Callithrix jacchus: one gene and its partners. The protein of the gene in region 3 purifies or fractionates together with the protein of the main gene of each other region. This does not show direct contact. Links are inferred from orthologs where the notes say so. Each region holds a gene or a part of one and is shown on either strand. Other genes may lie near its edges.

The links.
Region 1: the proteins of CUL4A (region 3) and COPS7B purify together in Homo sapiens (affinity purification with mass spectrometry; 8 studies listed by BioGRID and IntAct, counting the BioPlex papers as one, with this or other methods). This does not show direct contact. The link is inferred for Callithrix jacchus from reciprocal best matches to the Homo sapiens genes CUL4A and COPS7B.
Region 2: the proteins of CUL4A (region 3) and torsin-1A-interacting protein 2 purify together in Homo sapiens (affinity purification with mass spectrometry; 4 studies listed by BioGRID, with this or other methods). This does not show direct contact. The link is inferred for Callithrix jacchus from reciprocal best matches to the Homo sapiens genes CUL4A and TOR1AIP2.
Region 4: the proteins of CUL4A (region 3) and WDR5 purify together in Homo sapiens (affinity purification with western blotting; 4 studies listed by BioGRID and IntAct, with this or other methods). This does not show direct contact. The link is inferred for Callithrix jacchus from reciprocal best matches to the Homo sapiens genes CUL4A and WDR5.
Region 5: the proteins of CUL4A (region 3) and SNRNP40 purify together in Homo sapiens (affinity purification with western blotting; 3 studies listed by BioGRID, with this or other methods). This does not show direct contact. The link is inferred for Callithrix jacchus from reciprocal best matches to the Homo sapiens genes CUL4A and SNRNP40.
Region 6: the proteins of CUL4A (region 3) and DCAF11 purify together in Homo sapiens (affinity purification with mass spectrometry; 13 studies listed by BioGRID and IntAct, counting the BioPlex papers as one, with this or other methods). This does not show direct contact. The link is inferred for Callithrix jacchus from reciprocal best matches to the Homo sapiens genes CUL4A and DCAF11.
Region 7: the proteins of CUL4A (region 3) and COPS7A purify together in Homo sapiens (affinity purification with mass spectrometry; 8 studies listed by BioGRID and IntAct, with this or other methods). This does not show direct contact. The link is inferred for Callithrix jacchus from reciprocal best matches to the Homo sapiens genes CUL4A and COPS7A.

The regions. Positions count from the first base shown.
Region 1 is NC_133507.1:153,252,447-153,256,507, reverse strand, and holds part of COPS7B (COP9 signalosome complex subunit 7b), read right to left. Parts: intron 2,625-4,061; coding exon 2,519-2,624; intron 1-2,518. UniProt on the Homo sapiens protein: Component of the COP9 signalosome complex (CSN), a complex involved in various cellular and developmental processes.
Region 2 is NC_133519.1:23,492,847-23,497,369, reverse strand, and holds the start of torsin-1A-interacting protein 2, read right to left. Parts: upstream 3,163-4,523; 5' UTR 3,052-3,162; intron 2,733-3,051; 5' UTR 2,598-2,732; intron 1-2,597. UniProt on the Homo sapiens protein: Required for endoplasmic reticulum integrity. Regulates the distribution of TOR1A between the endoplasmic reticulum and the nuclear envelope as well as induces TOR1A, TOR1B and TOR3A ATPase activity.
Region 3 is NC_133502.1:28,674,061-28,678,121, reverse strand, and holds part of CUL4A (cullin-4A), read right to left. Parts: intron 2,471-4,061; coding exon 2,367-2,470; intron 1-2,366. UniProt on the Homo sapiens protein: Core component of multiple cullin-RING-based E3 ubiquitin-protein ligase complexes which mediate the ubiquitination of target proteins. As a scaffold protein may contribute to catalysis through positioning of the substrate and the ubiquitin-conjugating enzyme.
Region 4 is NC_133502.1:182,706,654-182,710,714, reverse strand, and holds part of WDR5 (WD repeat-containing protein 5), read right to left. Parts: intron 2,991-4,061; 5' UTR 2,933-2,990; coding exon 2,852-2,932; intron 2,163-2,851; coding exon 2,054-2,162; intron 1,707-2,053; coding exon 1,633-1,706; intron 1,021-1,632; coding exon 931-1,020; intron 712-930; coding exon 622-711; intron 410-621; coding exon 326-409; intron 1-325.
Region 5 is NC_133508.1:67,923,223-67,927,283, forward strand, and holds part of SNRNP40 (U5 small nuclear ribonucleoprotein 40 kDa protein), read right to left. Parts: intron 3,977-4,061; coding exon 3,883-3,976; intron 1,560-3,882; coding exon 1,394-1,559; intron 1-1,393. UniProt on the Homo sapiens protein: Required for pre-mRNA splicing as component of the activated spliceosome. Component of the U5 small nuclear ribonucleoprotein (snRNP) complex and the U4/U6-U5 tri-snRNP complex, building blocks of the spliceosome.
Region 6 is NC_133509.1:58,425,907-58,429,967, reverse strand, and holds part of DCAF11 (DDB1- and CUL4-associated factor 11), read right to left. Parts: intron 3,496-4,061; coding exon 3,395-3,495; intron 3,163-3,394; coding exon 3,016-3,162; intron 2,810-3,015; coding exon 2,755-2,809; intron 2,416-2,754; coding exon 2,347-2,415; intron 2,042-2,346; coding exon 1,984-2,041; intron 1,890-1,983; coding exon 1,704-1,889; intron 780-1,703; coding exon 626-779; intron 1-625. UniProt on the Homo sapiens protein: May function as a substrate receptor for CUL4-DDB1 E3 ubiquitin-protein ligase complex.
Region 7 is NC_133510.1:20,922,442-20,925,708, reverse strand, and holds the end of COPS7A (COP9 signalosome complex subunit 7a), read right to left. Parts: intron 2,370-3,267; coding exon 2,264-2,369; intron 2,104-2,263; coding exon 1,952-2,103; coding exon of another isoform or gene 1,948-1,951; exon of another isoform or gene 1,935-1,947; intron 1,790-1,934; coding exon 1,750-1,789; 3' UTR 904-1,749; downstream 1-903.

The DNA of each region.
Region 1 (4,061 bases), on a different chromosome or scaffold from region 3:
AAAACAAGCAATCTAATTTAAGGACAAATAAAGAAAAGCTCACCAATCAGTTGACAAAATAGCTTTTAAAAGTTAGGCCAATGGTAAAAGACTCATAAATACAAAAAGAATATGACAGAATCACCTTGGTTGGTTGTAGATTTCTTTTTCTTTCAAGCCAGTAGCTATTTGGTGAGTACCTTCTGTGTGCCTCAAGCAGGGGGCAAGCAGCCTCCAACACTTAGCAGCCAGAGCATGCATTTACTGAATGGAAAAACTGACAAGGCTCTAAGCTTTGGCCATGCTCAGGGAACAGACCATATTGGTCTGTTCCAGATTTTCTAGAAGACTATTACATCAATACATTGGTGGTGGAGGCGGCCTTGGCCTTTTCCTCAGATTTCTTTCTCAAATGTAAATCCTTATTGCCACCTGCTGGCAGCATCGGGCTCTGCTAGTGTCTTCCAACCACTGGCAAATTTAATAAAACCCTGTGTGCTAGTGCACACACTCGCCCTCTCTGTTTAAATAACCAAAATTTAAAAAGTCTACACTGTTGTGTAACTACGCAGTGTAACTCAGACTTTAGTCAGGTGTCTACAACAGCTCTGTGGACACCTGGCTTTCTTTTGTCTGATGCTATTTATCATGTAAATAAACTTGAATAGTTCAAAATTCTAAAACTAGTATCATTCATCTTTGTTAATGACCTCAATGCCAAAGATCAGGTGGTGCGGTTAGCCTCCCAACCTCATTTTGTCCAGAGTTTAATTTATCGGGAAGAATTAATGAAAGGAGAGAGTGGTGAGCCCTTCCTACTTTGTTCAGACCTCAATCCCAAGCTAGAGATGAGGCCACTATCATGAAGGTGGTTGCACAGCTTATTAGAAAAGCAGCAGGCTTATTTTCCTAACTGTCTTTGCTTTTGGCTAGTGTTAATTATAGTGCGTACTTCCTTGCCCAGGCTCGTCTCGAACCCCTTCCTCCTCAGCTCTCGAAAGTGTTAGGATTACAGGTGTGAGCCACTGTACCCAGCTCATACTTCCATGGCTAGAAGGAGGACTGGAAATGGTCTATGAATTGAACATCCACAGAGTATATGTATATAGGGCAGTGTGAGTGTATTCAAAAAAATTAGCTCAAGTTCATGAAAAGCAGAGTTCAGCAGACCACTCACACACTTCTATGATGTGCCAGAAATATTCAGTTCAACATTTGAGTATCTACTATGGGTTAGGCATGGGATAAGAAGCTTATCTTACAAATAGGAAACAGGTTTTATTTTCAAGGAGTACATATAATAGTATAGGGAATCACTCCAAATTTCACAAATCCCCCCTTTGAAAGGCACCATCTACTCATTTCTTTTTTTTTTTTTTTTGAGACGGAGTTTCGCTCTTGTTACCCAGGCTGGAGTGCAATGGCGCAATCTCGGCTCACCGCAACCTCCGCCCCCTGGGTTCAGGCAATTCTCCTGCCTCAGCCTCCTGAGTAGCTGGGATTACAGGCACGCGCCACCGTGCCCAGCTAACTTTTTGTAATTTTTAGTAGAGACGGGGTTTCACCATGTTGACCAGGATGGTCTCGATCTGTTGACCTCGTGATCCACCCGCCTCGGCCTCCCAAAGTGCTGGGATTACAGGCTTGAGCCACCTCGCCCGGCCTCCATAAGCATTTCTTATGCTTCTTAGCTAGAATTCTGGGCCCTACTCTGCCACAATCTTAGACACCTGATTTTCAAAATTCATTAAGTATCATTAACACTTCAAATCCCATCCACCATAGAAAAGAACTTCCAATGCTAAGGAAGATCAGTGCTTCTGATGTTAAGGGCTCCAGATAAATTCTGAAGTGAGGTCACGTCATGTATCAGACTACAAGTACACAAATGCTCATAACACAAAGGCTGGGGCCTACATCTGTCCAAGAGACTAAAAGTTTCCTCAACAACCAGGTGTCAATAAAACTTCATTTTACATCCTTTTAACTTCACTTGTAGCTCATCTGTCAAATTTTATCCCTTTCTTCTTTCCGTATGAAACATGTCATGCATTTCACAAGTTTATTATATGTATAGTTTAGATAAAAAGAATAAAATGAACACTATGTGCCCACCATGCAACTTAAGCAGCAGAACATTCCCAGGGCCTTGAAGCCCCACATGGCCCTGACCAGCTGTACCCCTCCCTCCATGCCACCTGGTAACTTATCACCATCTTACCCATTTTTAAGATCCATCCCTAAACTCATTTTCTTTTGCTCTACAGCTGCAAAGTACATGTGTAATGAAACTACAACATTCTCTGTTCTCCAAGCCTGATCAATCACCCTATGCTGACCAGGAATCAGAAGAGACAGAACACCAAGAGCAGGAGCTGTGTCACACTCATCCCTATACCCCAGCACCTAGCCCAGGCCCATTTCTTGGTGACTGCTTATTTCATTTACACCAAGATTCGCAAAACAAAAACATAAACACTGCAAAGGAATCAACAGGCATGCCCTGGAGAGAGGAACAAACGTTCCTTTCCTTCCTTACCTCTGCTTCTACCTGCTGCTGAGTTCGGTTGTGGTTCTCTTTGTACTGGTTGGCTCTCAGAACTTGCTGCTCGATGCCCAGCAGAACTGCTTCACAGCCGTCACACCTACAATAGAGAAAACCAGCCCTGAGCTGCAGAAAGGCCTGGGAAGTCTCTTCCAGCCTCTGACATCTTCCTCCCCAACAGCTCTCCCCAGAGTCTTACAGGGATCTCCTTTAATAATCCTTCTACCAACATCTCTTGCCCATTCCTTCCTTCCAAAAGACAAGCACTTCTAAATACCTACTGCAGGACATAAGGAGACAAATATGGTAGTCTAGGGCTAGTTTCTTAGAATACAGCTTTAATTTTCAACTCTGTATTTCATGGAAGATGGTTTTGTAGCACCTAAGATTAAAGAAAGTAGGATAGGCTGGCTGTGGTGGCTCACGTCTGCAACCCTAGCACTTTGCGGGGGAGGGGGAAAGGAGGGTGGATAACAAGGTCAGGAGTTCGAGACCAGCCTAGCCAACACAGTGAAACCCCGTTTCTACTAAAAATACAAAAATTAGCTGGGTGTGACGGCACACACCTATAGTCCCAGCTACTTGAAAGGCTAAGGCGGGAGAGTATCTTGAACCTAGGAAGTGAAGGTTGCAGTGAGCCGAGACCACACCACTGCACTCCAGCTTAGGTGACTCTGTCTCCAAAAAAAATAAAAATGAAAAAAGAAGGTAGGATAGATTTTACAGATGGCATTGAGTAATCCTTTTCTCAACAGAAAAAAAAAGATTTTCTAAAAGTATCCTATTTTGAAGATTCCTCCTTTTCTCAGAAGTTTAAGTTATTTCCTAATTGCCATACCCTTCCTCCTATTTTATTTTCCTCACTATTAACTTTTTTAAAAACAAAAAAGTTGAAAGAATACAATGAATATCCCCATACCTCCACTTAAGATCCAACAGCTGTGAACATTTTGCCATATGTGTGGTACCCCTCAGCAAATCAATTTTGTTTCCATCTACCACCAGTGCCTCAACATGAGTTGTAAGCATCTCTACCAGTAAACATACTGCGGTAACCCGTTAGTGTGGCACCTCTATGTCAAACATATTGGTGACTTAGAAACTGGAAAGCAAACTATGGACATGAAAAACTGTGTCAGTCATTTCAAAAACAGAACAGGACAGCCAACGTTGGCAGGTTCAGAAACCAGATTTTGTGTGCTAGACCATTTTGTGATGGGGTATTTCTAAGCTTATTTCTCCTTTATTCCCAGTTTCGGAACCTACTGAAAACTTCCACCTGTGTCAGATGTTGTACCGAGGTGGTGTTTGGGGCCACACCTGGGACAGAACTTGGGGTGAGGGGTGAGCAACACTTGTCCTGAGGTAGAGTAGCTTAAATGAGGGAGACTTGGGGCCATCAGACCCCAGGAAGTCAAAGTGGTGCTGCTCCTCTCTGGATATACTTCTCTCAGGGATGAGCAGAGATCCCATATCTCTCCCTAACCTGTGCACAAAGCTCACCAGCTCTGCTTCATGGCTTCCAACATGCCATGTG
Region 2 (4,523 bases), on a different chromosome or scaffold from region 3:
AGGCTGAGGCAGCAGAGGACTGCTTGAGCCCAAGGGTTCAAAGAAGGGCCTAGGCACTAGGCAACATATTAAGACCTTGACTACACAAAATAATACAAAAATTACTGAATTATGGGGTGTGTGCCTGTAGTCCCAGCTACTTGGAAGGCTGAGGTGGGAGGATCACTTGAGACTGGGAGGTCAAGGCTACAGTGAGCTGTGATTGTGCCACTGCACTCCAGCCTGGGTAAGAGAGAGATCCTGTCTCAAAAAACAAACAGACAAAAACTGTAAATAATGTTACTTTTCTACAAAGAACTTATAAGTAAGCCTCCAGGATCAAGTCCTGCCTATAAATAGGACCTAACATCCATAAAGTAAATCTACCAACATAGAACCCCGCATAGAACTGTCCTCGAAGGTCAGACTGCCTAGGCCTAAATGACTGCTCCAGCTTCTGACTTGGTGTTGTTTTTTTTTTCTCTCTCTCCCCTTCTCTGCCCTTGGTTTTCTTTGTTTTTTCTTTTGTTTTTGAGAAGGTCTCCCTCTGTTGCACAGACTGGAGTGCAATGGTGCTATCTTAGCTCACTGCAACCTCCACCTCCCAGGTTCAAATGATTCTTGTGCCTCAAGCCTGCCGAGAAGCTGGGAGTACAGGCCCCCACCACCACACCCAACTAACTTTTTTGTATTTTTAGTAGAGATGGAGTTTCACCATGTTGGCCAGGCTGATCTCAAATTCTGACCTCAAGTGATCCACCAACCTCAGCCTCCCAAAGTGCTGGGATTACAGGAATGAGCCATACATAACACCTGGCTTATTTGAACTATTAAAGGCAAAACCAGGCAGCTTCATTTGTGTAATTAAAACAAAACCCCAGAAGAAACCAATGTTTTAAAATTTGACTTTTTGCAAAAATGTCATTACATTTATTTACATGATATATACTCATGGTCAAGGGCTGAAGGAAAAATCTCTAAAAACCAAAACAATATGATTTGTTGAGGTAGTAGAATTACAGATAAATTTTCTTCCCAGAAATTTCAATTACCAAAATTATGTGCACAGATCATACCTGAGCCATGGCACACACACAAAAAAATCATGTGCCAACTCCTTTAAATATTAGTAAAGAGGAAAACAGCCCACACAGTGACAAAACAGGAATTCAAATCCAGCTATGACTCTAAAGTCTATGCTCATTATTGATGTTAGGGATGCCCTTTCTTATTCCCAAATGCTTGATTTCTGTGCAAAATTTATGATAATGTATGATCACCTACTAAATTCCTTCTTGTGGGACACAGTTTAATCCAGTGGTTCATATGATGCAGAAATATTAATGAAACTTTAACACAATTAAAATTCTAAATGGTAAATAAAAACAGCCAATTCTTCATTCTTTCCATTTTTTTTTGGAGGTTGTAGAACCTCCAGGTTAATGTGCCTTCATAGTTGGCTTAGTGAACAACCTCAAAGTGAGAAAGTAGACAAGGCTTCTTGAAGCAAACTTTCCTTCAGGAAATTCAAGTAGCACTTCAAAGAAGTGTGGATTTTCCTGGAATACAGTTTTGACTTCTGAGTTCATGGAAATGAATGGAATACAGAAATGACTTCTTAGGCAAAAATAAGTTATATACAAGATACAACGCATTATTAAAATACCCAATAATCCTCAAATAATTGGCTAAATTCTGAAGTTAAATTCTTTGTTAATTATTGAAGTTCTCAAGCTAACATTACCTCTACATTAGAAAGAAACTAGATAAAATAGTGCTTAAATGAGTCACCCAAGGTTACGTAATAAACCTGCAGAAAAACAGGTAATCAAGTTGTGGACTGCACGTTCAGCATAATAAACATTACTGAAGAGAGGCACTCAGTTCTCACAGCAAATGTTGGTTTTTCAAACTGTTCTAATCCACACAAAGGCTTCCAAGAACATCTATAGTTACTCTACTTCGAGTTCTTTTTTTTTTTTTTATTAAATGTTTCCACTGGCCCCTTTATACTCATCTTGTGCTGAAAAAATAAAACTCAAAAAACATGGATAGCTGCCACAGCTTAAAACAAAGAAAGGATCTTTCAAACAGATCCAAAATAAAATGTTTTAAAAACTAAAGACAGGTAAAACAAAACCAATATGTTTAATCTGTGTAACTTCATTTCTGGATCTGTGTAACAGTATCAAGTCTGATAATCACGCATTACTCATGAAGTAGAGAGTACTAAGAACTTTGTTAAAAGAAGGAAAAGGTGCAAACTTTTTTATCCGGTATGAAATACAACTGAGAGTATGGTACATACATAATATATAAGCAAAATGGTAGGAGGTCTTAATAAAACTACAAGTTTGTCCTTTTTAGCACCATGTTTTTTTTAATTACTATCTTTTCAGGATTAAGTTGATGAATGCTGAGATCCTAGGCCTGCCGGGCATGGAGTAATCGCCGCCTACACTAGTAGGAAAATTTCCCACTTACATTTCGAACCCTACAATAATTCTGCTTCTCACCTTAAAGTTTAAAGCTAAAAATTTACTCACATCTTAACCCGTTTAATATTTATAAGATTCTGTTTCTTTTTATCCCGAAACGAAAATATAACCCCAACCTACCTCGTTTACTGTTCAAGTGAGGCCAGGTGTGGTGGCTCAAGCCTGTAATCTCACCACTTTGGGAGGCCGAGGCGGGAGAATCACTTGAAGCCAGGCATTCGAGACCAGCCTGGGCAATATAGTGAGATCTTGTCTCTACAAAAATAAAAAATAAAGTAATTAGCGGGGCATGGTGTTGCGGGCCTGTAGTCCCAGCTATTCGGGAGGCTGAGGCGGGAGGATCGCTTGAGCCCAGGAGAACGGGGCTGCAGTGAGCTATGATCGCGACACCGTATTCTAGCCTGGGTGACAGGGCAAGTACCGGTCTCAAAAACAATAAAAATAAAAATATCGTTTGGGCAGTAGGGAGGTGGGGGTGGGGAGGGACCGTTTCTGAAAGCTCTTTTGAAAAATTCAGTATATCAGTTCCAATACTAAAACATAGAAAAGTTGTACAGTCATTTTGTTTACTTACAAATTCTGGCGGGGTTTTAAATCGTAGAACTGTTAGTATCAGGGGAGCCGTTCGAGTGCTCTTTCCACTCCACACCGCCCGGCTGCACCCAGCGGCCGCCGCGGCCCGAATGTCGTCCAGCGTCCCCGCCCATATGACCGACACTTTCCGCGGGAAGGAGCCCGTGGAATTCTGGGAGTAGTAGTCTCTGTGCCCTGCCTTCTGCCGCCTTCTCCTCCATCCTTCGCCCTCTACTGCCAGGTCGTCTTACCCAGCGATAGGCACGGTAAATGTGTGCAACCAACCTTCAAAGATCCCCGAGTTCTCAAGCTATCTGACAGGATTGCAGGAAACTCTGCAAGACGTCTGACCACCCTGACCCATATGACCTAACTCAGGACCAACACAGTGAGAACCAGTACCGAATAGAGGAGAATGTCCTCAAAAAGAGTTGCCTAATCTAATCTGTTTGCTCGTGTGTCAAATGGGGACGTTGTTTACTTCATAAGATTGTTATGAGTAAATTAGATGATGTATGCAGCGTGTCTACTAAATGACAGCAGTAACAAAAAATAGCTATTGCTATGATCTATTAATTTTATAAATGTGAAAATAAAGAGATGGTGAGCAACTTACCCAAGAACATACAATTGGTTGGGAGCAAAATCGAGTAAGTCTAAAACTCCTATTCCTGACCCACGCCAATTCAAGACAACACAGAAGAAATCTACTCATGTAAAACTCCTTTCCCCTTTCCTCATTTTTTTTCTGTAACAGTCCTGACCAACACACTATTTTACTTATTTTGATTTTTGCTTGACTCCTCCCATAGAATATAATCTCTAAGAAGACAGAAAACGTTTTTTTTCTTTCAGTCTATTTTGCACACAGCTGTATCCCCAGCACAGAGAACAGGGACTGCCTACTACATAGTACCTCAAGTATTTATTGAATTAATAATTCCTCATGTAATATGACTTTTGATGCCTTCATTTTCCAATCATCCTCTTTTGGCAGAAGTGACAGGATTTGGTAACACTCTTGGATGCTGTTTAATAATTAACTGCAATTTCTAATTCAACAAAGTAGAATACTATATTCCATTCACTTCATTGTGTTTAATTTCAGTGTCACATTTCCAGGTAGATATTTTCATTTGTATTATTAAAATATTTTTTCAATCACTTGTAAGAATGAGGAATAAATGGAGCCAGCTACTATGTCTTTAATTAACTTACTATTTAATATTTTAATCATCTTTTCCTTATTAAAAATAACAATGTTGCCTACTTCATTTCTACTAAGTCACAATGGATAGATGCTTTCTCTTGCCGGTCATGGTGGCTCAAGCCTGTAATCCCAGCACTTTGGGAGGCCGAGGTGGGTGGATCACGAGGTCAAGAGATCGAGACCATCCTGGTCAACATGGTGAAACCCCATCTCCCTTCCCTTCCCTCCCTCCCTCCCTCCCCGCTTCCTCCCTTCCTTCCTTC
Region 3 (4,061 bases):
AAATTTATTTTCCCAGGGCCTGGTATTATACTCAGCACATGACCGATACTTAAAAACATGTGCCTACCCAATGAAAGGCTGTGGTGTACTGGTCTCTATGTAAACTTATCTTATCATTCTGCCAGAGTGACCTCCATGAACAATCTAATTCTGGTTTCTTGCTTCAAAACCTGTGAGAATGCTGGGATATTGAGACTGGAGCCCAACTCCTTGACACTATCCACAAAGATTCTAATCCAATCTGCACCTCAGCATCACAGCCAAAGGGCCGCCAGCTCTCTGGAGTGCTAGTTGTGCTGCTGAGGATTTCCAAGGCACCCTCCACGCTCTGCATCGGTGCCACATCTACAGGTGGGCGGACCCTCCCCACCCTTCAAGGGCGTCTTCTCCTGGAGGCTCTGCCCCAGCTGCCTCACACGCCACCACTGCTGGCCTGACTCAACAGTTCTCAACTCAAGATGTCTCATGACTAATAAGGCCATTTGGTATGGTGGTGTTTTCTTCTTTTGCCTTTAATGAAATAAATAATTTTTGTAATCATGGTTTTGCCATTGCACCAGGAAAACATAGTTAATTCTCCTGCCTCTCCCAGAGGCCTGTAACTTCTTGGAGGGTAGATATCAGGCATGGTGGTCACTTCCATTTTGTGGTGCCAGTGCCATAGGCAGAAAGCAAGCGCTTGTGCAGTGAGTGAACTGATGACAACCCACAGGGTAGCAGTAACTGGCAGAAGGATAATTTGTTCAGGTAATCAAATGGCAGTTTTCAAGTAAATTGAGACAGCAACTAGAATAGGAACAATTATCACCTACTGACTCACCAATGCCTAAGTCTTTGGAGAAGGCTTGGGCATCTGCTAAAGACTTCCCCCAAGCCTAGGAGTCAGGCCACTTTTTGGATCGAAACATACGAAACATGGGTTCCTGGAAGCGCACTGCTGAGCTGTGGCCCTGGGGCGGGGCCTGCTTCTGTGCACCCTCACAGGTGCCTCCTGAGATAAGATGCACTTTGGCCAGGTTCCAGAAGGTTGTGTGTGGTCACTGATCTCTTGAACAAACTCGTGATCTTTAGGAAAAGGCTTTGCTGGAAAACACTGCAGAGGTGTATTTACAGAAGCCAGCACAAAAGAACTGACGCTGACTTCACTCACCATCTGTGGGGAGCGCTGTGGAGACTGCCTAAACAGAGCCCTCTCACCTTGCATTTCAGCTTCCCTGCCATGTGCTTCAACCCCAGCAACACCAGCTGCTGCAGCTTCCCCAAGGGTCCTTCCAAGGAACTCAGATGGTTTAGTTTCCCAAGATCAAGGAGATGGGGGAGCAGAAGTTTCCTTGAACTAGAAGCAAATACCAACTACCTAATTTTACATATAAAGAAACGGAAGCCTAGACAACTCCAATCACAAGTAGACTTTCTGCAACTATAAACTCTACTTTCTAATTCCTACCCAATGAAACACATGGATAGCTATAGTAATGGGAGGAGGCTGGGAAATGAGACTGAGTCCAGATTAAAGGATTTTCTATAGGATGCCAAGGAGCCCAGAGACCCCTCTGTAGACAACTGAGTCACAGCTGGTGCGGCAGCAGAATCCCGAGATGCCCCTGCCCTGTCCCTACATGGATGATGCCTCGCATGCAACTGTGAATGAGGCTGTGGATACACAGGGTCATCATTCATTGACTCAGTTACAGTTTACATCATATAAGGCCCTATCTAAGCAGGCCAGAGTGGCAGATTCTCCTGCAGGACTAGAAGCAAAAGAGTTGTGCTGTGAGAATAGAGGCAAGGAGCTGCACGTGACCACACGTAACACAGGAAGGAAAGCAGGGCCCTCAGTCCCACAGCCACAGGAACTGGCTTCTGCCAACTGCCTGCCCGTGCTAGCGAAGGACCTCACCTCGGGTGAGGCCCCAGCCTGGTTGACACCTTGACTCTGCCCATGAGACTGAGCACAGAATCCACTGAGTCCTGCCCAGCCTTCTAAGAGACACAACCATGAGCTGATAAGAGGCTGTCTCCACATGTCACCAAGTAGTGGGAATTTGTGACATGTCACAGAAGGCTAATGCAGATGGTATTTATTAGAATAAAGGATACTCAAACTTTAAGACATTTTTCAGAACTTTTCCTAAATACTTCAATCATATCCAATAAGTAGACGTGGTTTCCCTTTAATTCAGATCAACAAAATACTTTAAATGGCAAATTTTGCTTAAAAACTTACCATACTGAGTCATGAAATAAAAGAGCACTTTAAAGCTTTTGTTATAATCTTAAGGATACACATTAGTTATTTATCGTAATGTTCAGTTTTAAAAGACTTAGATAATGAACAGAAACTTTATGAACCAAAAAAAGGATATTCTCTAAACGGAAGGATCTGTGCCTGGACGTGGTCTTCACAGGCCTGACGCAGCTGCTTGTAGAGCATGGGGGAGACTTTGTGCGAACAAAGATTTTCCACAGCCTGCAAACAAAAGGAGCACATAAATTCCTCAGTATGAACAGATTGGTTCTTTAAAAAACCCGACTGTTTACATAGCTGTAATCATAACAAAAAGGCACGCCACCCGCCCCAGTACTTACAGAATCTACAAATACATTATTTATTATGGCTAAGTCTGGTCAGAGCTGGCATGGGGGTAACAACAGTTAATGTGGCACATGGCACCTCAGGCCCCAGGCGGCTAGTTGGCCTGCACCACTTCTGAGCATATGGAAACTTCCGAACAGGTTTGATCCTCACATGCCTGTTTCTGGGTGCTCTGATTCCTGAGCCTGAGGTGGGGTCACCGGAGCATGTATGTGTTTAAGTTCACCTTGATGATTACAAAGTGAAATCAGGGCTAGAGAACCAAGAATATCTCTTCCCTCAGCGACCATCTTCTCACCAGGAAGGAGAATAACAAGATGGGGCCCCAGTTCCCTTCACCTCCCCAGGGCAGTCATTCCGTCCACACTGAGCTTTGTTCTGGATGACTCGGGCCAGACTGTATTGTTTCCTATTTACTTTTCTGCAGGCTAGATAGATGTGTAATTCACTTCAGTTTTGTCTTAATTAAGAAACATTTTTTTTTCTGTGAATATCCCCAATACAAGAAGAAACCATTTTTTTTCTTTTTTGAGATGGAGTCTTGCTCTGTCACCCAGGCTGGAGAGCAATGGCACAATCTCCATTCACTGCAACCTCTGCCTCCCAGATTCAAGCAATTCTCCTGCCTCAGCCTCTTGAGTAGCTGGGATTACAGGCATGTACCACCACGCCCCACTAATTTTTGTGTTTTTAGTAGAGATAGGGTTTCACCCTGTTGGCTGGCCTGGTCTCCAACTCTTGACCTCAGGTGATCCGCCCTCCTTAACCTCCCAAAGTGTTGATTATAGGTGTGAGCCACTGTGCCCAGCCGAAACCATTTTTTGAGGCAGAAAAATTTTTCTTACAATATTTCTACTCACCTCAAAGAAACAGTACTTGCACATTCTCACCAGTTCTAATAAAATTTCCTTTCAAATCTCATGTACAAAACCTTAATCTCATTCAATTCAAATATGAAATACTATAAACAGAAATGTGGTTTTTCTACTAGCAAGTTTTGAACCAATATGGGGTTCAAAAAAACATGGGGATATACAGAATAAAAACACTTTAGATAAATAATCTGAGTGTGATTTGAATACAATAGTCCCCCAGGAAAAAAGGTAGATTAAAGTTATAAAGCTATTCATTTTACTAATACTTACAAGTATTAATAATTCCAGTATTATAGGAGAGCTGCTACATACTGTATTAACCAAAGTTAAATAAATACAGTAATTACTACCACATAAAATACATGCATATTTACAAAGATCAAAAGAGAATGTGGAATAATTATAATCCTGTTTTCTAACAAGCTTAATATCCACATAACAAAGAAATACAAACTTTCCCCCTACATTTTGTCTTACTGTAGACATAAGGAATTCCTACCCACATTCTGTATTTCTTTTAATTCCTTTCTCAAACTCTTTAATTCCATCCCTTTGGATTCCAAGTCTTTATAATTTGGTCAAAGATCTGT
Region 4 (4,061 bases), about 150 Mb from region 3:
CTTGTCCCATGCATCCGTTCAAGGTACACTGCCCCCTGAATGCTTGTGGCCACCACCCCCACAGCCTGCTCGAAGGGCCCCATGGTACTCACCACAGGGCACTCCACTGACACCTCACCACCCCCTCGCCACCCCTCCGCTGCACACAGGACTCATCTCTCAGGTCCCAGCCTCCAGCCTGATTGCTTTAGACTTCGGCATAACAGCAGGAATCAGTTAGGCACAGGCCACACCCAGGCTTATGTCCACCAGGGAGACAGCTGGCCACATCTGTATCAGGGGGACGCACTGCCAACACCACCCCATCTGTGTCAGAGCAACTTACAGCCGAGACTGGATCCGAGTGAGCAGGCAAAGTCTTGAGGCACTTCCCTGTTTTCACATCCCATATCCTCACACTTTCATCAAACTGAACAAAAGGAAGAGATTCGAGTGACTTTTACAGGGAAGAGAGGGGACAAACCTCCCCGGAACCCAAGACCTCCCAGCCCCTCCTCCCCACAAGCAGCACAGAAGAGACGCAGGGCCTACCTGCCTTCTCCACGGTTGCTACAACCAAATTCAACAGCCCTCCCACATCGGTCACAACAGCCCCCAGGGAAGACACCAGGCCACACTTACGGATCCTGAGACAATAAGGTTGGACTGGGGATTGAAGTTACAGCAAAAGACATAATTACTGTGTCCCTTCAGGGTTTTTAGACACTTTCCCTAAAACAGAGTATTACTGGGATTATTCCAGTGGATCTTTCTGGAAACAACAGCACCAGATCACAGTCATCAATGCCTGACAGCTCAGAGCATGCCCGCCCACCCACCAGTGATTGGCTGATCCCCAAGTCCACTCAGTCTCTGCCCACCCACCCTGCCCCGATGCCCCGTGCCCCTGCAGCCAGTCTTCCCTAGAGAGGAGCACTGAGTGTTGCTTACCGAGCTCACGTCCCATATCTTCAGGGTTTTGTCATCTGAGGCGGAAACAAGAAGGTTAGAATCTGACGACCAGGCTACATCGGATATTCCCTTGGGGAGAAAAAACAGGGTCAGTAACTTGGACAGAGCAACTTGGACAATAAAAGGACAGAATAGGACCTGTGGGCAAAATCCCAAACATCCCCATTGCCCGCAGGAAATCCTCTTACTAGCGTTAACCTTACAAGACACACTGCAGGGGAGGAAAACAGCAGGCTTTCTGCAGCTCTGCCAGCCTCACAGACACTCATCTGGGGAAGTCAAGTGTATCTGGCGTTAAACAGAATATTTGGGAGGCTGAGGAGGGTGGATCATGAGGTCAAGAGATCGAGACCATCCTGGCCAACATGGTGAAACCCTGTCTCAACTAAAAATACAAAAATTGGCTGGGTGTGGTGGTGCACGCCTGTAGTCCCAGCCACTCAGGAGGCTGAAGCAGGAGAATCGCTTGAACGCAGAAGGTAGAGACTGCAGTGAGCTGAGATCATGCCGCCACTACACTCCAGCCTGGCAACAGAGCAAGACTCCATCTCAAAAAAAAAAGAGAGGAAAAAAGGGGGGAAAATTTAAACCTGAACCCACCGTTCTCAAAATGGCCCTGACCACTTGCTCACTGGAGCTACTGTTCAATAGTCAACTTCATCGCACAGGGCTGAAACTTACCAGCTTGTGACCAGATATGGTTTTCTCAAATTTCCCATCATATGCGCCCCAAATTTTAATGAGTTTGTCAGCAGCTGAAAGAAAACAAAAGGATCTGAGGCTAGGAGCAGGCCACAGTTGTCCTGTCATCCATAGTCCAAAGCCTGGGCTTTTCCCACATGATCCCCTGGTGATCAGCATGAACCCCACGGCTCAGAACCCATTCAGCGCACCCACGTGCCGGAGATGACCAGCCCCCTTCTCCTCCCTCCCCAGGCCCACAGGCAATTTCAACCAGCACTGAGGTCACAGTTCCAGGAGGAGACACATCACCCGCTGCAGCCTGGAGCAGGAGGTGAGGAAGCAAGCCACCCCCTCGATGGTTTCTGGTCTGCAGCTCAGACCGCCTCTTCCAGCAGCTAAGGGCCTCAGTGCTACGTACATGAACTCGCCAGCCACTCTCCATTCGGGCTGAATTTCACTGAGGACACCGCTTTGGTATGGCCAGCAAGTGTAAACTTGAGAGCATAGTTTGGCTTCACGGGTGTAGGCTGCGGGAAAGATCAGTTAGCACAAAGTCACCACCACTGTGCATTCCACTCGTGACCAGTTTGGATTCAGCTCAGATCTTTATAGCTCCGAAACCACATGACCAGTGCCTTCCATCAATTTCTTTGTGGCGTCACTTTTCAAATGGAACAGATCTAAATCTGAGCCCACTATTTCCCCCTAAGACCTCCAACAGCACCAGCCAAGCCAGAAACGTCTGAGGTCCCCTCAAGGCAGGACCCCACCTCAAACCCACCTCTGATCCTGCTACAGCACAGGAGGCCCCTCCAGCCCCGACCTTGGTCCAGTGCACCCCACCCCCACCTGCCCTGAAACAGAGGCCCTGCTCCCTTGGCTAAAGGTCTACAAGAGGGTATGCAGCTCTGCCTGCGCATCAGATCAAAGCCGGGGTGGGGGAAATTATGAAGAGATGTTTTCTGGGTCTTACAGAGACTCTTACAATCAGGACCAAGTATGTATTTTTGATAAGGCCTCCCTCCTCCAGGTGACAGATTTGGGATCCCTGAAACAGCAGGTCACAAGCATTTGTCAGGTATGTGGTCAGGAAATAGAAACTAGCAGTGACCTTTAACTGAGTAGGGAAGGCTAGACTTAGGAGCGTGAAAGGTTTCCAAGAATCTCTAAGCGTTATTTGCCCCCCAAAACACCCACATGGCTCCTGGGCATGCACCTTGCTCTGAGTGGCAGAAGACGAAGGGGTCGGCTGTGCTCTGGCGGCCTCAGTCTCAGGCTTCTTCTCCTCCGTTGCCATGGCTCTGACGCTGGTCACACAGGGGATGTGGATGGAGAGTCCCAGTGACAGAGGCAGTCTGCCGAGCAAGATGCAGAACAGGGGGCCAAGGCCAAGAAACAAACCATATTTTTAAAAATGGATTTTCAGGAAAAAGGATTTAAAGGAAAACATTTGACTACCAATTGAGCCCTGTAGCAAACAAACCATTCCAAATTGAGAACCCTATTAATTACCCAAAGTCCTTGCTAATACTTTCTAGCTGCTCTGCTGAGACACCTGCTCTCGTCACTTTTGTAATCATCAAAGACCCCACCCTTAAGGGTGCTTCCTATTTTGTTGTCCAGAAGTCTGTAGGAATGCAGCAGTTTGTGCAAACAAAATGCAATTTTCTTCAAAGAGCCCTGGACACGGCTGGGCGTGATGGTTCATGCCTATAATCCCAGCACTTTGGGAGGCTGAGGCAGGAGAATCACAAGGTCAGGAGCTTGAGACCAGCCTGGCCAATAAGGTGAAACCCCGACTCTAGTAAAAATACAAAAAAAAAAAATTAGCCAGATGTGGTGGCACGTGCCTGTAATCCCAGGAGGCTGAGATAGGAGAATTACTTGAACCGGGAGGTGGAGGTGCGGTGGGCTGAGATCGCGCCATTGCACTCCAGCCTGGGCAATAAGAGTGAACTGTCTCAAAAAAAAAAAATAAAATAAAGCCCTGTACATATTATAAAAAGAACAGCAAAAGGTTTCCTGACAGTAAGCTAACATGCCAAATGACAGAAGATGGCTTCAGGGTGCAGAAGTTTGGGAGCACAGCCAAATCCTAAAATGCACCCACTGATGCAATCACATTCACAGCCAAGCTTGAAGGCACCCAGCGGTCTGCGCCTCAAGGGTGGGCTCCGGTGCCTCCATGCACAGGCTGCAGGCACCAAGCTGCCTTCCAGAATGCTAACAGCTCACAGGCCTCGCCCCCAGTGAGGAGCTACAAAACTCAGCAAAGAGAGCAGAGCGAGCCAGAGCCAGCTCTGCCTGCTGGAATTCCCACAACCTGCCTTCTGGAAAAGCAGCCTCAAGTACACCAGGGATATTCTACGAGCAAGACCAACATGCAAGGGAATGAAAAAAGACTGTTTCAGCTTGACAATAAAATT
Region 5 (4,061 bases), on a different chromosome or scaffold from region 3:
CAGGCCCTAAATAATAAAGTTAACAAAATTCACTAGGAGCATTTCCACCTCTTATCTTCTGAAATGCCAATTAGCAAATCAGCTACTGTTAAGACTCTCAAACTACAGTAACATCTAGGTCAGAGCTCTGATTTAGAAACCAATCTTATACCACAGACTCTCCTCCCATCCAAGCATCAAGGGGCCCCAAGTGATTAGGCACAGGAAAACCACTTAGAAGAAAAACATCGCGGCCAAGTGTGGTGGCTCATGCTTGTAATCCCAGCACTTTGGGAGGCCGAAATGGATTGATCACCTGAGGTCAGGAGTTCGAGATCAGTGTGGCCAACATGGTGAAACCCTGTCTCTACTAAACATATAAAAAGTATCCGGGTGTGGTGATGGGAACCTGTAATCCCAGCTACTCAACAGGCTAATGCTGGGGAATCACTTGCACCCAGGAGGCAGGCTGCAGTGAGCCAAGACTGCGCCACTGCACTCCAGCCTGGGTGACAGAGTGAGACCCTGTCTTAAAGAAAAAAAAAAAAAAAAAGCATATTCATTTAAAAAGCAGTAAGTATGGGGTGTTTCCCAGATGTATTCTTTTGAAGTCCCTCCCTGTTTAATAATTAAAATATAAACCGGAGTCCAAAATTCATGTGAAAGAAAGAATCCAATGTGGTACTATGATGCACTGTGTCTGTGTGTGCCTGAGTTATTTCTAGGCCTCAGTTTCCTTATTTGTAAAATGAGGATGCTCAATGAGATCAGTGGCTCCCAGAATGTCAGACTGGCTACAATGAATCACTTGAAGGACACATGAAATAAGTCCTGATTCCCTTTTCGGATCCACTGAACCAAATTCTTTGGGTATTTTTAACAGGTTCTTCATATGATGATATAAAGATAGGCTGGAAACGATGTGATTAAATGATGTTTAAGTTCCCATCTTGTGCTATACTAAAACCATTTACTCAACTTTTTATATATTGTCTGTAATCTCAAAACAGCCGTTTTTTTGTTTTTTTGTTTTGCTGCCTCCCTGTTGGTAGAGATACTCATAACAGCCTTGAAAGATGTGCATGTTACTGTCCCTGTTCTAAAGATTAAAAAACAGGCTCAGAAAAGGAACTGCCCAACCTCACACAATTGACAGCTGAGCCAAGAATCAAATCTACATGGTCCACTTTATTCCAAGTAACAATTTATTCTATGGTCCTATTATTGTTCTGTAGGGTAATTAAAACACATATTAAATGTTTTATTTTAAATGGGGGAAAAATTTCAAGTGTCTGTTATTGGAAATGACTGCTAAAATTAAGTGTGCAGAGGAAGGTAGAGTACAAGTGGAGAGGCAAAATAAGGTTCACATTACGTCACCTCAGAAACTGCAACACAGACAGACAATACCCACCTTAACTGTGCCATCGTCACTGCCAGTGCAGACAAGTTGAGGGCCTCTCCTGGCTGGATAACAGGAATTCACAAAGGAAGTATGTCCCTTTAGCCTTTTAACCCTCTCACCTGTTTCGCTATCCCACACAGCCACAGTTTTATCTGTGGAAGCTGAGAAGAGCATACTAGAAAGTAAGAGGAAAAACAAAAAAGAAATAAGTGAAGACAAACTATCTTTTGTACTTGCCAAAAGATGCCAAACTCTTCAAGATCACTGACCTGTTGTGCTATGCGAGTTTGCCCCATGAGGCTGGAATGCCTCACCCCACCAAAATCCTATTTGTGCTCTAGGCCCAGACATAAGATCTACCCCTATGAAGTTTTAAAACTTCCCCTTCTTTGCGTCCCCATGACATACATCTAACATAGCAGTTTGTTCTTTTCTCTTTTGTGATAGGTTTTGTTCTATCTTTTTCTCTTTTGTGATCGGTAACGATTTACAAATAAGACACCCTCTCACTTGGAAATGCTTAATCACTCCCTGGTGCTGCAGAGCTAAGACAGACTATGCCAACTCTGGACCTGACAACTGAGTAACTCCAATCCTTTCTCTTTATCAAACTTTTTCTTTTGTCTCTGAGGACAATTTCTTTCTTACAGTTTTTTTTCAGATGAGATCTTGTTTTGTCGCTCAGGCTGGAATCATGGCTCACTGAAGCCTTGATCTCCTGGGCTCAAGTGATCCTCCCACCTCAGGCTGTGGTCCCTCTTGAGTAGCTAGGACCACAGGCCTGTGCCACCATGCCCAGCTACTTTTAAAAAATCATTTGTAGGGGCAAGGTCTCACTATGTTGTCCAGGCTAGTCTTCAACTTCTGGGATTAAGCAATCTTCCTGTCTCAGTCTCCCAAAGTGCTAGGGTTACAGGCATGAGCAACTGCACCCAGCCTCTGAGGATGATTTCTAAGTAATAACTGACCTTATAATGCTTTCTTTTTTCATTTTTTTGAGCTGGAGTCTCACTGTGTTGCCCAGAATGGTTTTGAACTCTTGGGCTCCAGGAATCCTCCTGCTTCAGCCTCCCAAATAGCTGGGATTATAAATGAATGCCACTGTGCCGAGCTTTCTAATGCTTTCTTTATTTAAAATGTATACAATGCTATGTGCCAACTGATGGCGCACCCATCAATTGGGTTTTAGAGGTCAGAAATGTAAAATAAGTTGGGCGTGGTGGCTCGCGCCTGTAATCCTAGCACTTTGGGAGGCCGAGGCAGGCAGATCACCTGAGGTCGGGATTTCGAGACCAGCCTGACCAACATGGAGAAACCCCATCTCTACTAAAAATACAAATTAGCCAGGCATGGTGGCGTGTGCCTGTAATCAGCTACTTGGGAGGCTGAGGTAGGAGAATCGCTTGAACCTGAGAGGCAGAGGTTGTGGTGAGCTGAGATTGTGCCACTGCATTCCAGCCTGGGCAACAGGAGTGAACCCCATCTCAAAAAAAAAAAAAAAAAAAAAAAAGTAAAACAATGAATGTTTACCAGGATATCTAACAACTGAATTAATTTTGTATAGCTTGGTTTCTTTGCTATCTATAATATATTCTAAAATAATATAGTCATTAAAATGTTTATGACATCAGATGTTGGCTGAGCAATGTTAAAGAGAAAAAGGCAGAAACAAGACTGTATACATAGTTCTAATAAATATGTAAAAACTAAACAGTTCTGAGTAGAAAAAAGGCATTAGAAAAAAGTATAAAATTAACAGTGATTATCTTTGGAGTAACAGAAACATGGACTATTTTTTCATCTTTCTGCTTTTTTGGGTTACTCAAAAGAAATGATTTTTATAATAAAAATAATTTCAGGCCACACTTGGTGGTTAATGCCTGTAATCACAGCTTTATTCGGAGGCTGAGGCAGGCGGACTGCTTGAGCTCAGGAGCAATATAGCGAGACTATGTCCCTACAAATGATTTTTAAAAATTAGCTGGGCATGGAGGTGTGGGCTTGCAGTCCCAGCTATTTAGAAGGCTGAGGTGGGAGGATCCCTTGAGTCCAGGAGGTTGAGGCTGCAGTGAGTCACGTTCATGTCACTGCACTCCAGCCTACATATAAAAATCACATTTTGGCCGGGCACGATGGCTCACGCATCCTAGCATTTTGGGAGGCCGAGGTGGGTGGATCACCTGAGGTCAGAAGTTCAAGACCAGCCTGGCCATCACGGTGAAACCCCATCTTAAAAAAAAAAAAATTACATTTTATGTCTTAAAAAAAAAAAACACAAGTTTGTCTGGGTTGTAGAAATGACAGATATGATCTCTTTATATTTGCATACACAGACAATAAACACCTCACTTGGGATGACAGTGATGAATCGAATAATAAAAGTAGCTACCCAAAATTAGTAGATTTTGATAGCAAGATTTCCTGAGAATAAAGGTGAAAGGACACCAAGAAGAATTAGTACGAGAAGCAGCTGTCATTCCATTATGCAGAATACTCACCTGCCATCTGTGTTGTAATGCAGTTCCATCACTGCTCCACTGTGTCCCTTCAGTGTGGCATAATTATCACAGTCACCATAGACATTCCATAACACTGTTAGGGAGACAGGGGTTTTATGAGCATTACTAGGCAAAGGATACTTACGAATTTATCAGAACAACAGTTCTCAGGCCCAGCG
Region 6 (4,061 bases), on a different chromosome or scaffold from region 3:
GGCTTGAGCCACTGTGCCCGGACTTGGGATTGTTTTGTACCACCAGTCCTGAGCAAGCATGTATGCCCAGAGACAACTGTCTTTCTAACCTTCAAGTGGTGGCTTTTTAAATTTTTTTTTTTAAAGACGGGGTTTCACCATGTTGGTCAAGCTGGTCTTGAACTCCTGACCTGAAGTGATCCGCCCACCTTGGCCTCCAAAGTGCTTGGATTACAGGCGTGAGCCACCACGCCCAGCCCAAGTGGTGGCTCTTTCTCCACCTAATCGTCAGTGGACAGTCTCCAATATGGCCCTGCTCGCTAATCATACTCAAATACTTTTGTATTGGGGGCCACAGTGGCTCCGGCCAGTTGTCCTGGCACTTGAGGAGGCGAGGCCATGAGTTCAAGGCCAACCTGAGCAACACAACAAAGCTCTCATTGATTAACAACAACAACAAAAAAATACTTTTGTATTGGTTGATTCTGAGTGACCCCCACCCAGGCCCCAATCCTAGGAACCTCTGGCCATCCCATCCATGATTTAGCAAATAAAGCGTTAATGCCTGGCAAAGAGGGCTGACAGGGAGGGCTCCAGGGTTCCCAGGCTACAGACAAACCCACTGTGCCTGTACTTCCAGTCTCACCTTTTTTGGGCACTTGCTGCCAGCGATAGTCCCAGTTTTGCTGTGTGGCAGCCTGGCGTGAGGCTTCCATGCCTTCCCGCGTGGAAAAGCGTCGGATATCCCAGAGCTTGATGGTCTGGTCTTTGGAGTTGGAGATGAGATACCGGGCATCACCCTATGAATCCAAATGTGGATAGTGAAGCATCAGAGCTTACAAATGTCAGCGCCTGTCAGTCTAGTTCTCATTCTCTAGTTGAGCAGAACTCCAGCCTTTGGCTTTGCTTGCCTCTTTCTTTATCCAGGTGAACTCATTTTCATTGTTCTGCCTCAGATCTTACCACCTGGCTGGGTTTTCCTTTCCGTGTCCAGGTTACTGGCTGGCTTTCCTATTCTATCCTGGATCAGACTGTCTTCCATTTTCCTTTTTAAAAAATATTTAATAAAAAAAAAAATAGAGACAAAGGCTCATTAGGTTTCCCAGGCTGTTCTCAAACTCTTGAGCTCAAGCGATCTTCCCACCTTTGCCTCCCAAAGTGATAGGATTACCGGTATGAGCCACCTACCTGGCTGGTCTTCCATTTTTATTGTACAGAAAGCCCCACCCTACTCCTTGAGGACTGGTGAGTCCAGATGGAATTCATGTTCCCTAGATTGAGCCCCTTCCCTGAACTCCAACCCTTATAAACCTTGGCTAATAAGGAACTGTCGCCAGGCACGGTGGTTCAAGCCTGTAATCCCAGCACTTTGGGAGGCCAAGGCAGGTAGATCACGAGGTCAAGAAATTGAGACCATCCTGGTCAACAAGGTGAAACCCCGTCTCTACTAAAAATACAAAAAAATTAGCTGGGCATGGTGGCGGGTGCCTGTAATCCCAGCTACTCAGGAGGCCGAGGCAGGAGAATTGCCTGAACCCAGGAGGCGGAGGTTGCAGTGAGCCGAGATCGTGCCATTACACTCCAGCCTGGGTAACAAGAGCGAAACTCCGTCTCAAAAAAAAAAAATAAGCAACTGTCAAATTCCCACACCAGTCCATTTTCATGCCCTCCTGAGCAACCAGAACCTTAGTAGCCTGGCTGTGCAGTCCTGTTTCCTGGCCCACCTTGCTGTCAATGAAGGTGATGCCATCCTGGTGTCCAGCGAGTGCACCCACAGGCTTGGGGTCATCCTCTCGCATGGTGCGTCGATCCCACACTTTGCAGATGGCATCATCACCCCCAGAGAACAGGATTTGTGAGCTTATATCAGCAAAGGCCACTGCATTCACATCATCCTCATGGGACTCAATCTAGGTGAAAAGGAGGCCAGAATATAAGATCTCTTTCTAGGTCTTATAATAAGCGAAAGACCAGGAAGCAGAGGCTCTGTCTCAGGAGCCATACCTGAAGGGTGCGCTGGTTCTGCTCTCGGTCAAAGACATACAGGCAGCCATCATTGGCCCTGAAAGGGAAGCAATAAAGGAGGGTTCTGGAGCAACAATCTTGAGGATCAATGTGGTATGTACTCTAGAGAGTCCCACTGAGAAATCCTGCTCTGGGTCATGGGGGAAGAGTTAGCTGTGTTTTTAAGGAGGCTCTTGTGCAGGGGAAATGGAGAGCAAGAGGTGAACCAACTTGTAAATCCTGACCTTGGAGAAAATCTGGTTCTTCTCTGCAGCTGCCGGTGCCATCTGTGTACAGCAGAGCTCATCTCTGGGGAAACCCCCATCTTGTTAATTAAGGGAAACATATCCCACAAACACTCACCCTCCTAGTACTTCTCGTCCATCTGAGGAGACAGCAATGGAGAAGACAGCAAAGCGACGCTCATCTGGCCTGAAAGCAAGAAGTAACTGGATTAAGTGGACATCCCTTCAGCTTTTGCTAATCTACATAGAATCTGACAATGGTTGTAAGACATATACCCAGGGGAAAAAAGAAGTCCGGTTAACATGCACCACCATGCAGATCCTCAGTGAGAACCCAGAAATAATCCTGCAACCAACCATTTACCCAATCCTCTGGCTGACAGGATGCTGCTTCCCTCCCAGGAATCCACACAGACCCACCAGCATACATTTCCCCCTAAGCAGAACTTCCAACTCAAAGGTTTGCTCCTGAAGATCTTCCCTTGAGAAGTTTCTGATGAGTCTGACCAGAAAGGGAAGCCAGTACCTGAGATCCAGCGCAGTGTGTGTATCTCCCTCACCATAGATATTGCAGATATGAACTAAAAGAGCAAGAAAAACAAGAATCTTTCAGGCATGGGGGAAGGAGAGTGGATGTGAAGCTAGGGAAGAGATCAAACAAAGGACAAGGATGTTGGAGCACTTTGGGAGTGATCTTCCCTGTATAAAGTGAGGAATCCTGGTTCAGAGGGGATGAGCACCTCAGGTCCCAGGGTGGAGAGACAGTGGAGGCCTGGTACATACTCACTGTAATCAGACCAGCTGGAATAGAGGAAGTGGTTCCCATCAGGGGTAAAGGCCACATCCAAGATGCTCCAGCCTACATCGCGGGCCTTGATGCTCTTGAATTTATGGAAACGGCCATACTGGCAGTCATACAGTCGGATTGTCTGGTCTGTAAAAGTAGAGATCAGGCAGAATTGTGGAACACTTTCCTTATAACTTTCCTAGATTAGAGGTCTGCCACTCAGTATACCTATGGAATCTTCGCTTAATAATGGGAAACATGCTCTGGGTATGCATCCCTAAGCCAGGTCTGAGCTCCCTGTCTGTGGCTTTCTAGCCTCAGTCAGAGGGTACATTCCATGTTCCAGGAAAAGACAGTTGACAGGACGAGGGTCTGGTACCTTGGCAAGCAGACATGAATATTTGACCATCTTTGCTGTAGATGCCACAGAAAGCCTTCTGAGAGTAGCTATCAGTGAAGCCCAGATCATTGGGCAAGAAGCTAGGGAAGGAGAGAGAAAGTAAGGATAAGGGGTGCTCAGGATAAGGAGTATCCCAATTTGCAGAATCCTAACAGAGCTAGAATATCAGTACAAAATCATTCTCTTTTGGTTGTGAGTGCAATCCCCTGTCTTTCAACCATTCCACCATCCTTTAAATTTCTTTTTTTTTCTGAGACGGAGTTTCGCTCGTTACCCAGGCTGGAGTGCAATGGCGTGATCTCGGCTCACCGCAACCTCCGCCTCCTGGGTTCAGGCAATTCTCCTGCCTCAGCCTCCCAAGTAGCTGGGACTACAGGCATGCACCACCATGCCAAGCTAATTTTTGTATTTTTAGTAGAGACGGGGTTTCACCTTGCTGACCAGGATGGTCTCGATCTCTTGACCTCGTGATCCACCCACCTCGGCCTCCCAAAGTGCTGGGATTATAGGCGTGAGCCACCGCGCCCGGCATCCTTTACATTTCTATACTTTTCCAGTTTGTTTACTCTCAAAGTTTCAACCCCATTTAACCTAAACTTTAATATCTTCAAGGCTCTTTTAACACCAACCCCTTCAAACTTTAGGA
Region 7 (3,267 bases), on a different chromosome or scaffold from region 3:
AAACATCACAAGCTCTGGGGAGCAGCTGTCAACCCCAGGACCCTCAGAAGGCAACCACTTCACATGCAAACGAAGGCTCAACTGTCCTTCACACCAGGGCTTTCCAATTCCAGGGAGTCCATAGCAACACTTTAGGCCAAGGATCCCAATCCTCCCTGCACAATTCCCGGAGAGCTCTAGTGGACAGAGGGCAGGAGTCCAATGGCTTCTGCTTGCCACAGATCTGACAGTTCTTCTGTGTGGTTCTGATGTGAAAATTCAAGTTCATTATCAACTCTTTCCCTTCTAATTCTATGAGGTAGAAGGATATAGGTTCAAGCTCCTGGAGAGCAGAAACAGTGGCCATCGTTTCCACGTCCAGTGCCTGTCAGGTATTTATGCCCAGAAAGTATCCATTACTACTGTTTTTTTTTTTTTTTTTGAGATGGAGTCTCACTCTGTCACTCAGGCTGGAGTGCATGATCTCAGCTCACTGCAACCTCCACCTCCAGGTTCAAGTGATTCTCCTGCCTCAGCCTCCCTAGTAGCTGGGATTACAGGTATGCACTACTATGCCCAGCAAATTTTTTTGTATTTTTAGTAGAGACGGGGTTTCACCATGTTGGCCAAGCTGATCTCAAACTCCTGACCTCAAGTGATCTACCCGTCTTGGCCTCCAAAAGTGTTGGGATTACAGGCGTGAGCCACTGTGCCTGGCCATAGTCATTACTTCTGACTATGGATGCTGAGATATGAAGCAACGTGTCCGAAGTCATACAGCCCAGGATCTAGGCCTCAGGCAGAGACGCAGCAAATAGTATCCAGTTCTCTTCATCTTCCAGCACTGTGCTTTAGAGTAAACTGGGAATGAGTCTTCTTCCCATCCGCAAATATCAAAGACAGAAGATACCCAGTTCAGGGTAGTTTGTAGATAGACTTTTCATAGATTTATTTCTGTGTCATGTTATATATAGATATATGCATATATACCTTTTTTTTTTTTAAATACAATCTATATACCCTTCCCTTCCCCACCAAACTCACAAAAGGAGATTAAACCCTTCCAGGACTGCCATCAAGCTTCCCGAGATGGCCAGGGCCAAGAAGGAACCATCTCTCAACATGTTAAGAAATAGCTGCCATTCTTAGGCTCTGGGTTCTGAAGCCGCAGCATTCCCAGGACCCAAAGGGCAGAGAGAGAAAAATAAATGACTGTAGCGTGACAGGATTTTCGGATGAACGTGTCCAGTGACTCTGGGAATGCCACACTGGGCCCCAGAATTCTCAGAATGCGAGTAAAGGTGGGGGCCCTATGGCTCTTCAGAGGCTGCTCAATGCAGGGGTGGTGGGTAAGGTGTAGGAATTTGCGATCAGGCATGCAGGGATGGGGTGGGAGAAAAAAAACGCCTGTGGGTTATGCTTGAGACAGAGCAAACCCCATCAAGGTTACCCACCTACTCGATGACATGTCATGAACAGGGACAGATGTTGAGCTCTTAAGGAAATGTCGGAGAAATAGGGGAGAGAGCATGGCAGCAGGAAGCAACGGAACACAGGAGGTCACAAAAACAAAAAGTACCAACAAAAACATGACCTGCACTTGCCTCCTCCCTAGAAGAAGGTGTGATCTATGTTTGGGGTTGGGGAGGTGATGGGTCATGAACCTAGGATTATCAGCTGGCCAGGGGCACAGGAAGGCTCTCTGAGGACTCCTAAGAGGCAGACAGGCAGCTGGGACCCCACATCCCCAGGGAGGAAACGACAGTCCCTTCAATTCGACTTGGACCAAATCTTGGCGCTCCCTCGGAGCCTGGCAAGAAGAGAAAGAGAGAGAGAATGCAGGGAATCCCCTCTGAAGGCTCCCCCGACTCCCTACTCCCATGCAAATAACTGAAGGAAGTGAAGACAGTCAGGTCCCTGGGGTAAAAGCAGGGCACTCCAGAAGTGAGCAGTACCTGCTACCCTGGCTCACCCCTTGCCCTTTGAGGCTTTCTTGCTGGGCTGGCGCTGGTTGGTGCCAGGAGCTGGTTCCCTCAGCTCAGTCAGATGTTGCTCAGGGTCCTGAGATGTGGCTGCGGCTGCTGCTGCTGTTGTAACTTTAATGGTTTTTTTAAGGTTGGCAACCTACCAGGATGAAAGGAATGGGGATAGCAAGGAAGGTTCCAGAAACTTCCAGACCCTGCTTATTTTGTTGTCTGCTACAACCACTGTCCAAATCCTCTCTGCAAAGGAGAAGTGGCCCAGGCTGGAGGAGCCTGGGTCCACCTGCTCCCTGACTGCTCACCTCACTCTCAATCTGCTGCTTCAGGCCCAGCTGCTGCTCCTTGTGCTGGTTGGCACGGCTCACCTGCTCCTCAATGCCTGACAGCACAACCTCACAGCCCACACACCTGCGGGAGTCAGGGGAGAAGAAAAGTTTCAGCAGACAAGATCTACGATCATAGACTCACAGAAAACAGATTCAAAAAGAACCCTAGATGCAGGGCGCAGTGGCTCACCCCCGTAATCCCAGCATTTTGGAAGGCCGAGACGGGCAGACTGCTTAAACTCAGGAGTTCAAGACCAGCCTGAGCAATATGGCAAAACTCCATCTCTACAAAAAAAATACAAAAACTAGCCAGATGCAGTGGCACAAGCCTGTAGTCCCAAGCTACTCAAGAGGCTGAGGTGGAAGGATGGCTTGAGTCCAGGAGGTGGAGGCTGCAGTGAGTCAAGATCATGCTGCTGCACTCCAACCTGGGCAACGGAGCCAGAACACAGCTTCTGGCATTTTGAGTCTGAGTTGGGAACCCTCACCAGGGCACCTAGAAACCATCTGTGACAATGATCCTAGCAGTGAGATGGACCCTCAGTATGGTCAGAGAGGGATAAGGAAGTGCCTGGAGTGATGTGCAAGATGGTGGTAGGAACTGAAAACAAATAGGGTAGGAGATGTTAAAGAGAAAAAGAGGTGACTTAATGAATACAGAAACCCTGAAGTTAGATAGACACAAAATAAAAGAGAGGAGGAAAAGGCCCATGGCCTGTGGACAATGGTAATTGTAGACCAACTGCTGGAATCTAGCCTAAGGCAACAACCTTAGTGGTTAGGATCCCCTCAAGTGTACCACTCACTCCCTTTCCATCCCTGAATTACTATATCAAGGACACTGACTTCTGCCGCCTCCCAGGACCTCCCTACTCCTGCATTCCCCAGAAGCCTTTGAACTCATTTTCCTTCATCCCCCTCAGTTCTACCTCTGCAGACCAGCCCAGCTCTTGCCCTCTCTCACCCTGAAGCACCTTTCA